2 linked regions of the Ovis aries genome follow. The protein of the gene in region 2 interacts with the protein of the main gene of each other region in a pairwise test. Links are inferred from orthologs where the notes say so. Each region holds a gene or a part of one and is shown on either strand. Other genes may lie near its edges.

Region 1 (5,259 bases), about 24 Mb from region 2:
ACCCTTAAATCCTTCTTCTACAGAAGTTCTAGGGTTTCCCTGCTGGTCCAGTAACTAAGACTCAGTGCTCCCAATGGAGGGGACCATGATTTGATCCCTCGTCAGGGAACTAGACCCCACATGCTGAAACTAAAGGATCTCGCATGCTGCACCTGAGACCTGGTGCAATCAAATAAAGGAATATTTTTTAGAAAGAAAAAAAATTCTAATTCTGGCCCCAACGCTGCCTCCTCTCTCCCCCTCATTACTTTGTCCAAACCTGTTCACAGAACCCATCACTTCATGGCAAATAGATGGGGAAACAATGGAAACAGTGACAGACTTTATTCTCTTGGGCTCCAAAATCACTGCAGAGGGTGACTGGAGCCATGAAATGAAAGACACTTGCTCCTTGGAGGAAAAGCTATGACCAGCCTGGACAGCATATTAAAAAGCAGAGACGTTACTTTGCCAACAAAGGTCCATCTAATCAAGGCTATGATTTTTCCAGTAGTTGTGTATGGATGTGAGAGTTGGGCCATAAAGAAATGCCAAAGAATTGATGCTTTTGAACCGTGGTGTTGGAGAAGACTCTTGAGAGTCCCTTGGACTGCAAGGAGCTCCAACCAGTCCATCCCAAAGGAAATCAGTCATGAATATTCATTGGAAGGACTGATGCTGAAGCTGAAACTTCAATACTTTGGCCACTTGATGCGTAGACCTGATTCATTTGAAAAGACCCTGATGCTGGAAAAGACTGAAGGCAGGAGGAGAAGGGGACGACAGAGAATGAGATGGTTGGATGGCATCACCAACTCGATGGACCTGAGTTTGACTAAGCTCTGGGAGTTGGTGACAGACAGGGACGCCTTGCCTGCTGCAGTCCATGGAGTTTCAAAGAGTCCCACCCGACTGAGCGACTGAACTGACTGATTCACAGAACCTCCCACAGGATTGAACTCTCTCCTGGCTTGCTAGTGGAGGCCCTCGTGGGCTCTCACCTACTGCCGGAGTCTCCCCATTGGTTCCCTTCCTTCCCGTCGCCCCCAGAATCCCATCCACACGATGCCAGCTGGCAAAGCCGTCAGAGGCTCCCCAGTGCCTACATAGGCCCACCCCCTCTTCTGCTTCTCTATTGAATGTGTGAATTTTTATCAAAAGCTCTTAGTCAAAAAAAAAAAAAAAAAAGTAACGCCTTTCTTTACTTTGAGTTGCAAAAAGCATTTATTTTTAAAACATCAAAATTGGCATTTGAACAGAAAACTTTTAACTTTCTTCAGCATCTCGGCTAAGGATCTTACTTCCACCCCCTTCCATCCCCCCTACGCCTGTCGTCAGTACCTTGGCTGACGACGGAGCAGGATGGGAGGGGTGTCCCAGAGCCGGGGATAAATATTAAAATGTCCACATGGGTTTCTACCAACGAATACATCCTGACCAGATCCAGAGGGTGAGAGGTTTGTAAAGGTGTCGAGAAGTTTCCACTGACCCAGCCCAGCGCTCCCTGGTCTGCGAACATTACAAAAGGGATGGGCAGGGATTCGGGGCAGGGGCAGGACGAGGGAGAAGGCGGTGGGAGCCGCTACCCACGCCGGCCAGGTCTGCGACCCGCTGAACCAACCTGCGGAGGCCCGGCCTCAGGGCAAGCGCATCCTGGGACAGGGGCCGCCGAGCTGGTCCATCGCGCGCGCTCTTGTCTCCGGCCCGAAAAGAGTTAACAGGCCAGTCCCACGCGGGCCCGGATTCCCTGCGGCAGGCCCAACTCACCGCCAGCTTGACCCCCGCCCACCAACCAAGCCGGGACCTCGCGGCGCCCGGGGTGGGGTGGGGGGACTGGGAGAGTGCGGCTCGCTGGGAGCTCGCGGGTGCAGCCAGCGGCTGGGAGAGCCGCGCTCTGGGCGTCGGGGAAGGGGCGGGCTAGGGCAGGTCAGGCCCGCCCCCGCCAGGGGCGGTGGAGGCCGGTGACCGACAGGCCTCCGGGCCCGTCCCGGCGCGCCTGACGGTCCGGAGCGCCCTGCAGGGTAGGGCCGGGGCGGGGGCTCTGGAGAGGGCGGGGGCGGACGGGGAAGCCTCTGGGCTGGGGCGGGGCCTCGGCAGAGTAGCAGCGCTCTCAGCCAATGGGAGGCGGGCGCCTTCCCGTTAGCGCCGGATCCCAGTGGATAGGGAGGGGCGGGCGGCGCCGTGGGGATCCCGGGGCGGCTGAGGGCCCCTGACTCGGCTCCGCGCGGCGACATGGACCGGATGGCCAGCTCCATGAAGCAGGTCCCCAACCCCCTGCCGAAGGTGCTGAGCCGGCGTGGGGTTGGCGCGGGGATGGAGGCTGCGGAGCGGGAGAGCTTTGAGCGGACTCAGGTGAGGACCGGGGCGGGGTGGGGGACACCCCCGGTCGTGCACGGCTGGGGCATCCCGCAGTGTCCTGGAGGGGACTCGAAGGGAGTAGGGATCTTGCAGGCCCAGGGAAGGACTGAGCAAGGGGGCATCTGGTGCGGTGGTCAAGGCGGTCTGGGAAGGTCGGGGACCCCGGGGCCATCCCGGCTGGCCTGGGGGAGAGGGCAGGGCGGCTCTGAGCAGCTGGCACGGTCCGCGCGGTGCGACCGACTGGAGCCGGTCCCGGCGGGGCAGGGCAGGGGTCACGGGGGCGGTGAGAGGGGAAGGAACGCGAAAAGGGGGCCGAATGGAAGGGGTGCCCCTAGCTGGGGAAGGTCCCTGGCGGGGGGGGGGTGGCGCTGGGGGTCGCAAGTGTGGCTGCAGAGAGTGGGGCGCTGAGTCGGGAATGTGAGGGCTGGGGCGCCCTGTACTCTCCGCTCGATCACTTCAGGACTGCGTTGACATTCCCCCCGTCCCTAGCATCCCCTTCCTTGTGCCTCTAGCTTGGCTCACGCCAGCCCCCAGCTGTCGGCCTCGGAGGACCGGACTGAAGGGGTCTGAGCCCGGAGGAAGGAATGTAGGAAATGCGGTGTGTGGCCGAGTTTGGAAGATGACCGGGGGCTGGAGGAGGGGGCCGGCCCAAGGACAGATATTGAGGGTCCTGGACCAGTGGCCCCGATTCGGGTCAAGTTGGGTTGTTCTGGGGTGCCCAGAACCCTGAATCGGGGTTTTGATTTCATCCCCCTAAATGTGCCTGACAGCTAATAGGCAGCCTGCCCTAAATTGTCCAGCCTGAGCAGGGCTAGGGGCCAAAATTCCTCACTGTCATCAACAAAAAGCCACAATCCATTTTTACCTCAGAGTTTTAATGCCTGGTGTATTGATTGGACTGAATAAAGCTGACATGTTTATGGTGTTCATCGGCTGGTTTGTATGCAAAATCCATTTCGAAGGGCACAGCACTTCTTTTAATCCCACTGCTGAAGTTGTATGGGCAAGTTTGTTCCTCACTCGCGCTCACTCTTGCTCTCGGAGTGAAACCTTTGAAGAGCCAGGGGGCTTCCGCTGCCAGAAGCTGGTTCTCCCGTTCTGTTCTGCTCCCCACCGCCCTCCCCAAACTTAGTACCATGTGAAGGAAGGGCAGTGGGGTTTTAGATAAAGATTGTGAGGTCCTGATCGAGTGTTCCATGTAGGGAATCTTGCAAAGAAGGAAACTTTTCATGAAAACCCAGGAGACTAATTCCTCTTCTTTTTCCAGGCACCTCTGGCCCTTCACAGGTGTGTCCAGGTGGTGTAAAGTAGGCAGTGTCCCCTCCCTAGGTCATCATTCTACCCCACACGGGATGGGAGAGAAGGCTCTTTACTTCTCTCTCCCAGGGTCTGGCTGGGTTTAAGCTTTATTTTCTAATTCTGTGGATTGGACCCCAGAAAGGAAGGAAGATGCTTGTCTGCTATGGGCATTATGCCCTCGTCTAGCTGCCTGGGCACACAAGGCTTCTTGCTCCAGGAAACAGTGTAAATCTTTCTTGTAATGGACAAGGAAAATAAATGGTAATTCATTCCTTTTAGAGTCTCCAGTAAAAACTGGAGCAATAGAGAAATACACATAAGAGTTTGACCCATTATAGTGATGGAAATTAGGTTTGTGAAAGTTTCTCTAGCTATCCAGGGACGTCCCAACAAGGAGAGTCTAGGTCAGTGTTAGGCAGTATCTTACATTCTGTGGGGCACTGATAATTGGCCAGATTTGAGCTAGTGGCGTGTGTGTGTGTGTGTGTGTGTGTGTGTGTGTGTGTGTGTGTGTGTGTAAGGGAGGTAGAATGAATCAGGAAAAGAGTTTCTGTGTTGTTGAAACTATTAGGGCAATAAGAGAGTGAAGAAAAGGAAAGAGAACAATTCTAAAAACCTCACCTTAGTCAATCTGCAAAAATGTGTATTGTTTAATGACTACTTACCCAATGTATGTGTGTGTTAGTCACTCAGTCGTGTCTGAATCTTTGCTACCCCATGGACTGCAGCCTGCCAGGCTCCTCTGTCCACAGAATTCTCCAGGCAAGAATACTGGAATGGGCAGCCATTCACTTCTCCAGGAGATCTTCCCAACCCAGGGATCGAACCCTGGTCTCCCTCATTGCAGGCAGATTCTTTACAGTCTGAGCCATATGAACATGAGTTATAAAAAAAATTTAATGAGTTAAGAGACCATGGAATCAGTGAAGGTGGGCGGATGATTGTAACTAATTATGTTTGGCACTTTTCTGAGTACTTTATTGTATCACCTTCTTTAATTTCAGTAAAGTACTGTGAGGTGATATTGACAAGGACCTATGAGGTGAGTATCAACCACATTTTATCTGGAGGAAATTGAGGCACAGAGAAGTTAAGTAACTTGCCCAAGGTCAGACAGCATGTTGTGATCCCAACCTTTAACCACAGCTCTGTGTGGCTTCTGAGTACTGGGCCGAGCACTGGTATGGGAACTGGAAGAGGCTGAAATTTGATAGCCAGGCACATGGAGGGGCTGTGGTCCCAGGCAAGTTTTCCAGCTTTTCTTAGCCTTGGGTTCCTTATTGCAAAATAAGGATACTACTTACCTCACAGGTTGATTATGGGAGACTAGATTAAATAATATACCTGGAGGCATTTTGTAAACTGGAGAGCACTGTGGCGATGATGATTGCTATAATCTGAGGAGGAGAGGGGACCAGAAAAAAGGCCAAGTACTGGGGCAGGCTGTGATGAACTGTTCAGTAGAGGGACAGAAGTGTTCCTGGTTAATGCAGTGATTACCAGGAGTGATTGCTTAAAGTCCAGGCTGTTAGGGTGCGAAGCGGGTGGGAGCCCTGCGAGGTCTGAACCCCATCCTTCAGCCTGAGCCAGCACTTGCTGGGGAGAGAGGAGGGATGGGGCATT
Region 2 (5,243 bases):
TGCAACATGGGAGACCTGGGTTCAATCCCTGGGTCAGGAAGATCTCCCGGAGAAGGGAATGGCAACCCACTCTAGTATTTTTGCTTTGAGAATCCCATGGACAGAGGATTCTCACCTTAAAGCCACACCATCATCAATGCCCTGTAATGACTTTCCAGGGGGCCTTACTAGCAGGATCAGGGCTGCTGTTATTACTCTAGCAGGATAATAGAGGCTCTTGTCAGAGATGCAGCATCTATTGAGGGGCAGTGAGTTGATGGATGTTGATATAGTGGGGGCAGGAGGAGAAGGGGACGACAGAGGATGAGATGGCTGGATGGCATCACCGACTCTATGGACCTGAGTTTGAGTGAACTCCGGGAGTTGGGGATGGACAGGGAGGCCTGGCGTGCTGCAATTCATGGGGTCGCAAAAAGTCGGACACGACTGAGCGACTGAACTGAACTGAACTGAACTGAAATAGTAGTTACTCATTTCCAGAGCTTTCAGTGATTGAGTGAGAAAGTAGCAGGGGCCACAGGACACCCTGGGTGCATGCAAAGTATTGGGTTGGCCAAACAATTCATTTGGGTTTTTGTTTCATCTTAGGGAAAACCTGAATGAACTTTTTGACCAGTCCAATAGTTAGCAGCTGCTGCTGCTCCTAAGTTGCTTCAGTTGTGTCCGACTCTGTGAGACCCCAGAGACGGCAGCCCACCAGGCTCCACCATCCCTGGGATTCTCCAGGCAAGAACACTGGATCGGGTTGCCATTTCCTTCTCCAATGCATGAAAGTGAAAAGTGAAAGTGAAGTCCCTCAGTCGTGTCTGACTCTTAGCGACTCGGTGGACTGCAGCCTGCCAGGCTCCTCCGTCCATGGGATTTTCCAGGCAAGAGTACTGGAGTGGGGTGCCATTGCCTTCTGCGAGTTAGCAGCTAGGATAGGTTTAATTTAGCACAATCTGTGCTGAACGCTTTGCTTGCATTGTTCAGCTAAATCTCTGTGGATCTTACGAGACAGGTACTGTTATGCCCATGTTACAGACAGGAGACTGAGGCCAGAGCAAGTGGGCACATGGCCAAAGGCACATAGATTTTCTTGGGTTGCCTGGATGCATCTGAATGCACAGAATTGAGGTATGGGGAGAAAAGGGCCGACTTCCGGAGGGCAGGGAGCGCTGGATGCCTTGGCAAGGGATCTGGAGGTGATCAGCATTGTCTGAGAACCGGGAAGGAGAACAAATGCCGAAGATGGGGACCCAGGGGCGCAGGGGAGAGCAGAGTGGGAATGGAAATCAGGAGGGGAGTTCAAGGTTGTGCGGGCACGTGGCGCGGATCCACGAGCAGGAGCAGAACCCGAAAGGGGAGACACTCTCTGAGAGTGGGGTCTGGGCTGAAACTAGGGGGTTCCAGGGAGTGAGCGGGGTCTAGGGGTGTCAAGGGGGTGTTCCGAGGGTAGCGGGAGATCGGAGCGGTGGAGGGGAAGGGTAGAAGCCAGAGGGTCGCAGGTCCCTGATGGGGTTTCTAGCTTGGGGGAGGCGGCCCCCCGCGAGTGGGAAGGATCGGGTCCAGGCGGCGCATAGAGGCGGGGACAAGCCGGAAGCGGGAGCCGGAGCGCCCCGCCCCGGCCGGTCCAGCTCCCGCCCCCCGCCTTCAGGCGCTCCTCCCCGCCGTCTTCCAGCCAGTCCGCCCCCCAGCTCCATCTGCTCAGACCTCCCGGCTCGACTGGCGGCGCGCGCGGCGGTGAGTGAGGAGCGCGTTGGCTGGCGGCGGGGGCGCGGGCTGGGGTCGCCGACGGGAGGAGGCAGCGACCGGGGTGCTGATCCGCGGAGCGTCGAGCTGGTGGTGGCTGGAGAGCGGGGTCGGTGCGGCGCCAGCACCAGCTCCGGACTCCGCGGGAGTGGTGGCGGTGTCCCGGAACCCTGGCGGGTCCCCGGGGTTCGAAGTGGTTGGAGGGCGTCGGAGTCCCGCCGCGATCTTCCACGCGGGGCCGGGGAGGCCGGGCTTCCAGTCACTTGGCGCTTGTTCCCGCCGCAGTCCAGGCAGGGTCCCGTTCCTGCTCCCCGAAGTGAGCCGATCGCCCGCGGATCGCGCGCGGTGGGGTCATCCCGCCCTCACCTGAAAGCGCGCCCCGTGTTGCTCGCGGGGGTCTCCTCCTCGGGAGAGGACACCCCGAAGCTTTTCAAGAAAGTTTCGTCTCGCTTGGTAGCTGCTCTCTCAAAGTTGAAGTTTCCAGACTTATTATCGCACGGCTATTCAGAAACAAAACCAACCAACCAAACAAAAAAAGCCCAACAGATTTCCGACGCCGGTCCCAGAAATTCGACTTCTGGGGTCCACGATATCTGCTTTTCCCCGCCATCCCCCGCTCCAGGGGGTTCCCCATAGTATTCAGGACCGCTCTCGGCGGACACCGGCGGGCCTAGGGAGCCCACGAGAGATAAAAATTCCGGACACAGAGCAAACGGAGCCAGGGCCCTGGCTAGACCCCTCGCGGGGAGGGGTTGTGGGGGGGGGGAGCGGGTAAGGTAGGCACCCTGTGAGCGCAGGGGTCGGCCGGGACCCCGTCCACTGCCGCTGCCAGATACATGCCAGTGGCACAGGCCGGCAAGGTGGACATTGGCCCTCCACGCCCAGCTAGGTAGGTGGCCTCTTTCTCTTTGGTTTCCAGGTCACTGTGATCTGGGCAGTGGAGTCATTGTTATGCCAGAAACCCTTCATCAAGGTCAGGACAGGAGGTGATGGGGAAATGGGCAATTCTGGACCGGCTGTGCATTCCAGGGATCAGGCCGGCTGGTCTTTGATTAGTTGTCTGGTGGCTTTTGTGCTGCCGATAAGTGGGGCTGATGTCATTGCATGTCGGACTGAGCTTTGGTGGCTGGGAAATCCAAATTCTGGAAGGCACAGGGCCTTCCCATCTTAGTGCATCAGAGTAAGACTCGCCCACCCATCTTCCCAAGGGGAATAAGCCCTTGGCTGGGTGAGCTGGTGCTGGTTCAAGGGCTGTCTGGAAGGCAGGTTGGCCCTGCAGTTCCCCTGGGGCCCTTTTAAGGAAAGATGTGGTTTGCATTAGTGTGTGCTTGACTGCCTCCCCTATCTTCTTACCCCCCACCCCGCCCCCTGGCCCTGCCCAAGCCATCTCTGATTGACTCTTACAGTGAGACTCACCTGGATGTGGTGTCCAGCGTGAGCTGGTATCTGGGACTCCACCAGACTGTTTGGTTTTATCGAAGTTGACTTGGAGGAGGCCTGCAAGCAGGACTTGGCTCTACCTGACGTAGAATAATACCCATGCTGCTCCTGACTTACCTCAACCAGGCCTTGCACTGGGGTTTAAAGGTGCCCCAGACTCTCTAAGAAACGTCTATTGTAGATCTACGATGGGAGGGGCCCATCTTCCCCCTTTCCTGTTACTTGAAGGCATGAATAATAGATGCTTTTATTCACATTTGTGAAAGTATCCTCATTGTAATGTTTTTGTGGATTAAGTGACTCACTGATTGATCTGAGATGGAGGATCAATTTCTTAAGTCTCTAAATACTAGATTGAAGTCATTTCACTGTCTCTGGTGAGTAAACTTTCCTTTGTTCCTTTAGTCCCTTTTACTGGATGGTTGTGGGGAAATAAAATGCTACTCTAGCCTTGTAAAGGACACAGAAGAAATGTCTCTATGTTCTGAGGGGTTTATGCTGCAGTGGAAAGTGGAAAAAAACACAGGTGGATAGTCAGTGCTCAGCAATGCCCTTTACTCTGGAAGGATTGAAAGAAATGGAAAGGAGTGAACTACAAGTCAGGGAAAATTTCATAGGAAAGCAGAGACCTGAGAATACATGTCATAGAAGGTACATGTATTCCAAATAAGCAGAAGAGGCTCAGCAAAGCTTTGGAGGAAGTGCAGGCTAGCCCATAGTTGAGGACAGTAAAAGAGAAGCCACTGAGAGCAAAGGAACTGGAAGGCATTTCCAGCCCAAGTTTATTTTCAAGGAGATAGACAGGGCATGCTTCCTTGCTTTTACCCACGACTGGCAGTGCTATGGTGCCACTCTGAGAATGGGAGTATGCCCATCAAGGACTTAAAATTCTCCTGCTGAAAATGAATCAACCCCAGCTACAGTGATGGTGGAAAAAAATGAGTTCCATGACTCGAAGTCTTAGAGTTTTGACACTGTGACCTGTCTTCTATTTGTTTGTGCTTTTACTGCAATGAAAATAGCTCACTGGGCAGTGTGGTCCGTCTCACCAAGCAAGTAGCCTTCCTTAACTCATCGGGGTTGAGCTCTAAGTGGTACTTTCCTGGGTCCTCACAATTTCATCTTACTGTTTGCACCTGCGCTGGGGCTCAGGGCAGTCGGGATAACACTTTTGTGGCCAATGAATTTGTCTTCTGACTGCAGATTATTTCTGTGAAGAACTGTGTGTACTTTCATAAGACTTAGGGCCTGGACAGAAGAAAGTAAATATCACGGGTGTCTCAGTGGCAACTCCCTGTTTACCTAGTAGGTAGGAAGTTAATTCACCGAGATCCGAAAAGTCAGAGGCACTTTCTTCTTCGTGGGTGTTAACGTCAGGGAAAATAATGGTGAAGAATTTAAGCTATTTAGCTCATGGGGGTTTCTTCTTTTCTTTAAAAAAAAAAAAAAAATTATTTATTTTGGGAGATCTAACCCATGCCCCCTGCAGTGAAAGCAAGGAGGAAATCCTGACCGCTGGACTGCCAGGGAATTTCCTCTCATGGAGTTTTAGAATTGACAATGTTCCTGAGGTAAATGTAAGAGCTTAGCATTGACTCACCCTATCCGTGAGTCCAGGGAGATTATTCATAAAGGCTGCATTGGTATTTTTTAAAGTTATGTAAAAAATAACAATATTACAGAAAGCATGAAAAATAACGAAGCGTATCCGGTATAATCTCAGCCTGTGAATGAAACAGCTAGCATCAGTTTTCCTTATTTGGCGGCTTCTTGTCATGGTGCCTGCTTTTTTATGAAGTTGTAGTCAGGGTACGAATAATTTTGTCTCCTGATGCAGCCCTATTAATGTTCTCATTGTGCTGTTTCATCAAAAACCGTCATTCATGTGGAAACTGGGGATGTGGTTTCACCAGGAATCCAGGGGGGGAATTGTTTCCCTTTGATTCTGGGGGCGCAGCCCAGCTCCCCATTGGAAGCATTTTCCATTCCACAAATCACTGTAATTTGTACTTAAGCCATATTTGAACCTGACTCTCAGATTGTGGTCACTTTATCTCTGCCTGGTGAAAGAA

Evidence for each region.
Region 1: the proteins of LITAF (region 2) and HIP1 interact in binary tests that used the Homo sapiens proteins (3 or more experiments, as listed by UniProt). The link is inferred for Ovis aries from reciprocal best matches to the Homo sapiens genes LITAF and HIP1.

Annotation. Positions count from the first base shown.
Region 1 is NC_056077.1:34,460,765-34,466,023, reverse strand, and holds the start of HIP1 (huntingtin-interacting protein 1), read left to right. Parts: upstream 1-2,190; 5' UTR 2,191-2,211; coding exon 2,212-2,331; intron 2,332-2,906; exon of another isoform or gene 2,907-5,259. UniProt on the Homo sapiens protein: Plays a role in clathrin-mediated endocytosis and trafficking. Involved in regulating AMPA receptor trafficking in the central nervous system in an NMDA-dependent manner. Regulates presynaptic nerve terminal activity.
Region 2 is NC_056077.1:10,788,568-10,793,810, reverse strand, and holds the start of LITAF (lipopolysaccharide-induced tumor necrosis factor-alpha factor), read left to right. Parts: upstream 1-1,662; 5' UTR 1,663-1,824; intron 1,825-5,243.